Kluyveromyces lactis: one gene and its partner. The protein of the gene in region 1 purifies or fractionates together with the protein of each later gene. This does not show direct contact. Links are inferred from orthologs where the notes say so. Each region holds a gene or a part of one and is shown on either strand. Other genes may lie near its edges.

The links. Proteins that work in one complex are often made in the same cells at the same time.
Region 2: the proteins of RPB3 (region 1) and DST1 purify together in Saccharomyces cerevisiae (affinity purification with mass spectrometry, with the first as the bait; 4 studies listed by BioGRID). This does not show direct contact. The link is inferred for Kluyveromyces lactis from reciprocal best matches to the Saccharomyces cerevisiae genes RPB3 and DST1.

What each region holds. Positions count from the first base shown.
Region 1 is NC_006040.1:1,362,176-1,364,969, reverse strand, and holds RPB3 (DNA-directed RNA polymerase II core subunit RPB3), read left to right. Parts: upstream 1-1,237; coding exon 1,238-2,161; downstream 2,162-2,794. Other genes in the region: KLLA0_D16192g (uncharacterized protein), read right to left, coding at 389-754; 1-(5-phosphoribosyl)-5- ((5-phosphoribosylamino)methylideneamino)imidazole-4-carboxamide isomerase HIS6, read right to left, coding at 2,409-2,794. UniProt on the Saccharomyces cerevisiae protein: DNA-dependent RNA polymerase catalyzes the transcription of DNA into RNA using the four ribonucleoside triphosphates as substrates. Component of RNA polymerase II which synthesizes mRNA precursors and many functional non-coding RNAs.
Region 2 is NC_006042.1:863,915-866,705, forward strand, and holds DST1 (transcription elongation factor DST1), read right to left. Parts: upstream 1,390-2,791; coding exon 511-1,389; downstream 1-510. Other genes in the region: DPC13 (Dpc13p), read right to left, coding at 1-6; RNA15 (Rna15p), read left to right, coding at 1,796-2,572. UniProt on the Saccharomyces cerevisiae protein: Necessary for efficient RNA polymerase II transcription elongation past template-encoded arresting sites.

The DNA.
Region 1 (2,794 bases):
TTTACTCAGTACAAAAATAACAAATAATAATGATACAAAGCCAATACCTTCCCAACCTTCACTTACTATCGCTCTGGAATAGATTCATGAGTTCGTTATTTGGAAAAAACGGTGGCGGAACACAGCTTTCACTACCTAATCCTGTTCTATATTGCATGCCTGGTAATGTTATTCTTGGATTACTGCGAACTATCAGAGCGTATGAAAGAAATAAAGTGTTGGTTTTGGTCGTAATGTACATTAAATCATCATCATACTAAGTTAGTTTATATTTTACTATATAGATTATCGTCGTTTCTGTTTGACGAAGAAGGAACAGAACGACGACAAGAGAATTCGTGTTAATAGTATCCTAATCCTTCTATAATCCCTAGGAGAAGAAGTTCAGTTATATGTTTCTTGGTGGCCTGTATATCGCATTCTTACCAAATAAGTTCCTAATTATACTTCTGCCAATATTACGTCCTGCTTGTCTGCAATATTGTAACCATGGCTTGGCAACGATATAAAATAACGAGAGAAAGACACCCTGCAAAAATGGACTTATCAAAATATCTCTAGCAACAACTTTTGCAACGATATATGGTGTAATGGGAGGATCTACGACAGATCCATCAGCCACCGATAGAGTTAATTTATTCTGTTTCAAAGCTTCTTTCCTCAAGGACTGCTTAAAGGTCTGTTCAAATCGCAAATCTGGCAATGACGCCTTTACTGAAACTTTCTCATCCACACGGGCAATTCCTTTAGGCATGGTAAAAGGCTGATTATCTGTGGATAACTCACCTTATTTTAAATTCGGTGATGTGTAATTGTACTTGATATTTCGCCTATTGCGTGGGATCAGCTTTCTAATATGTTCAAAAACCGATTTGAAGGTCCTACAAAGAAGAAATAATGCTAATAAGAAAGAAATGGGGCCACTATTGTTCGAAGAAGTTAACTATAGGTAATAAAGGCTATATATACATGACTCCGAGCAATATTATTCTTAGCTGAGCCTATTTGAAACAGTATTGATGGAATAGTCCTATGCACGTGACCAAACGCTGCCAAAGCTCAAAAATTTTCCAACTGAACAAAAGTGAAAAATTCATAAAACAATAATCGAATGCACCAAGGGAACGAGAACAAATCATTTCGTTGCTGTAGTTTGGTCAATACTCTGGTATTTGATTGAGCAAGGAGCAGGTCATATCTTAGGGAGAAATCAGAGTTTAATACTGCGAAAGAACAAATGAGCGAAGAAGGTCCCCAAGTAAAAATTAGAGAAGCAACCAAGGACAACGTTGACTTTATACTTTCTAATGTCGACTTGGCTTTAGCAAACTCGTTACGTAGAGTCATGATATCTGAGATTCCTACACTAGCCATCGATTCTGTTGAGATTGAAACTAATACTACTGTGTTGGCAGATGAATTTATTGCGCATAGACTTGGGTTAATTCCATTACAAAGTGCAGACATTGATCAAGTTGTATACTGTCGTGACTGTTACTGTGAAGATCACTGTGACCGTTGTTCAGTAGAGCTAATACTACATGCTATCGGTGAGAGTGAATCCACGACGAACGTTTATGCTAAGGATTTGCAGATTACCAGCGATTTGAAGGGTAGAAATATTGGCCATCCAATTATACAAGACAGAGAAGCAAATGGTGTATTAATCTGTAAACTAAGAAAGGGACAAGAGATAAGAGTGAAATGTATCGCTAAGAAGGGTATTTCAAAAGAACATGCGAAATGGTCACCATCAGCAGCTATAGAGTTTGAATATGATCCATGGAATAAGTTAAAACACACAGATTACTGGTACGAACAGGATGCAAGGGACGAATGGCCTCAATCTAAGAATTGTGAATTTGAAGATCCTCCTAACGAAGACGAGGATTTCGACTACAGGGCCAAACCTAATACATTTTACATAAACGTCGAGTCTGTTGGTTCCATCACTTCGGAACAAGTCGTCGTACGTGGTATCAAAACTTTACAGGATAAAGTAGCCGACATATTATTCTCATTAAAGAAGATGGACCAAGAGAAAGTTAATTTCGCAGCAGGAGCTGTATCTACGCACGTATCACAACAAGTGCCGATGGAAGAAGATATGGATCCTTATGGAGGGCCAGTAGGAGGCTCAGGATACGATGATGCATGGTGAGACAAGACAACAAGAAAAAGCTACCACAATTATCGTGAAAGGCAACGATTTTTCTATAATTCATTGACGAAACACAAGGCATATATTCCTTAATACTAGCATACTCAAAGGCACTAGCAGCATCTGCTACCATCCAATCTACCACGTCCGTTCAAAAGTTGAACGGTCAAAAATGTTTCAATATCTCTATCTCTATATAGAATGTTTATTTCCATCGAAAGTGTAACTATTAGACAAAGACTGGAAGCTAAGCGTGTTTCTCATGGTTCCATTGGACACAGTCCTCGAACTTTACAAGGGATCCACCAAAAATATCAAGAGCACTACCAAAGGTCAAATCAATTTTGCCATGACTCAATTTCTCTACTAGCCTTAAATCATCCACACTCTTAGCGCCGCCTGCGTATACGATTTTCACTTTTGGAATATCCGCAGTCCATTTGTACAAATGAGCCACTAGCTCTTCATCAATCCCATTACATAGACCCTCTACATCTGCTGCATGAACCAAGAATTCATCGGTATATTGACAAAGATCAGCGAAAGTTCTTTCGTTTAGCTCCAAATCAGTAAGGGTCTGCCATTTATTCATAGCAACGACCCACTTTGGCTCTTGATCCGGTTTCGTGACAC
Region 2 (2,791 bases), on another chromosome or scaffold:
TAACATGTTTTCTATATGAGGATTATTGAAGTTCCACAGCAACAGGACCGGTTAGGTCTCGGATATTCTATATTTTCTTAATTTAGTATGCAAGCGGAAAGATAATTGCGCTTTCACATTTTTTTGAAGTTGATAAAATTTCAGACCTTAACATGATGGACTGTTATCGAACAGGAGTCTGAAGGTAATAATTGAAGGTGAGCACCGACTATTTTCATTTGAGCTTGCAATATATAAACAAATCGAACTACAATGAATTCAACACCATCTGTAGAGTATTTACCATAGATACGATTCTTAATTGTGATATTACAACTTTGGTCATTTATACATGAAATACTAGTTAGCCGGAAGAATGTATGATGTAGAATTGGCGGATGCTATGTGTACACATCTAGCTAGCAATGAAATAACGAAAGAGTTTTAGTGCTTGATCACTGCCATCATCATGCTGCTTTAGTGTATCATATGCCAAGGCTATCTTCGTAAAATTCAAAGTGAGAATTTCAACTACGAGAACTTCCATCTATTACCGCAATTCTCACATGTACAAAAAGTAGTAAGAGGTTCATCCGCAGATCTTGTTTGTAGTTGGTAGTATGATACTTTTCTTTGTTTACATTTGCCACATTGGAATCTATCTGTTACTGATCTTTCTACAGTTGCACCTTGTGCATTAAACAAATTCTGTTTCTCAATTTCCTCAATTTTCTTCTTTAAATGTTCCGGTGCCAAGTCCTTAGGATCAGCAGTCACTAAATGTTTGGCTGATACTTCTCCATTCGTAATTCTATGTTTCAAATCTGGATTGTTCTTGGAGATTATATTTGAGTAAATTATTCTGTATTTGTCACGATATCCCTTTTCGTCAGACTCGGGATTGAACAGATTAGCCATTTCTGTCTCAATACTCATTACTGTATCTAGGATAGCTACTGGAGGATGTTCACTTTCTTTTGCCAATGCATCATATAATGCCCTAATAGCCATATCTCTAATCTTGACACCATATATATCCGTTTTCACACCGTCGTTCTTAGCATTTCTTGGAGCTTTGCTGACATATTTCTCCTTCTTTACTGCTTCTCCACCGCTTGTACCATTATTGTTACTTGTAGATGAGGAATTGCTGCTTAGTTTGCTTTTCTTTTCACGAGCCACAGCATCTTTCCAGGATAAAATCATCTTCTTCACCAATTTGACGATGTCTGGATTGGAAGATTTCTTAAATTGGTTGACTACGACCCCTACTTTCGTCTCTCTAAGAAGCTTCTCATTAACATCTTTCAAATCTTTATCTAATGACTGTAGAATCTTGAACACAACATCATTATTATTTTTGTTCTTCTCTAATCCTTTGACGGCTTCTAAAACGTCCTTGGTTTCCATATCCGCAGAAGATATCTCAGTTTCTATCTATATTCCAGGATCAATTTCTTTCGAAGATGAAGAATGAATGTTAATAATACACAGCAAATATTGCTCTCAACAGATTCTAATGAGTTAGGACCTGCTGAAATCCACCATTTGGACAATGGACAGTGTTGATTGTTTGAAGTCATTAATTAGTTTTCAATTCTAATTTCATTTCATTCGAACATTGAAAAAAAAATTAGAATTGAAGTTGATGACGAAAGTTGAAGAATCGAACAATAAAGCCATATCTGAGTTTTATTACACTTATAAAGTACCGCTAAGAGCATCGAAGGACTTGTAAGACAGACTTCCACCAGACAGCTAGCTGTGAAAATAACCTGGTGCAACCAATTTCAATCATAGAAATAGTTAAAAAGCAATGAACAGGGGAAATCCATCGCGCACAGTTTATTTAGGTTCGATACCGTATGACCAAACAGAACAACAAATATTAGACCTATGTCAGACGATAGGACCAGTAACGGCAATGAAGATGATGTTTGACCCAACGACGGGTAAATCTAAGGGTTATGCTTTTATTGAATTCAAAGATTTGGCAACTTCGGCAAGTGCAGTTAGAAACTTGAACGGGTATACATTGGGTTCAAGATCGTTAAAGTGCGGATACACCACCGGTAGTGGCATAAACGGCAGCGGATCTGGCCCCGGAGATGAAGAGGAGAATGGAAACATGGTTGAGGATGTGAAGTTCCCATGGCTCCCGGTAGGGGTGGACGTTAACATCAATATGACTACACCAGCAATGTGTATCAGTAGTGAATTGGGGAAGCTACAAAAGGACCAACAGATGGCTCTACTAAAAGTAATCCAACATTTCTGTAAAGACGACAAGGAAACTTTCGTAGCACTCCTAGAAGAGGCACCTCAATTGAGCTATGCTATTGCGGAACTCCTGTTGAGTAACGGTGTGTGCAGTGTGGACCAATTGACACAATTGGCTATGGCGAGTAAACAAAGGCCAGAGGAACAGACTGATAACACAGTGGAAGACGGATTAGACGAAGAGAAAGTGGATCTTCTAAGGCAAGTTCTACAGCTACAGGATTCAGATATAGCAATGCTTCCGCAAGACGAAAAGATGGCAGTTTGGGAACTCAAACAGAGGGCAATGAAAGGTGAATTCGGTCATCTTTAATAGATCGTCTCATGGATGGAAAATCAAAAATAATGAACATGCGTCAACTATAAAGTTCATTAATGCTTATAGATGAAACGGTGTAGAATGTACAAATTGAATACGCACTTTCGGATGAAGTAAAGTTCAGTCTCTAAAATATACCTTCAATGAGCCAGAATGCGCTTGACGGTAAGACAGAAGTAGCAGTATAATTTTATGGAAATAATGAAGAGAAGG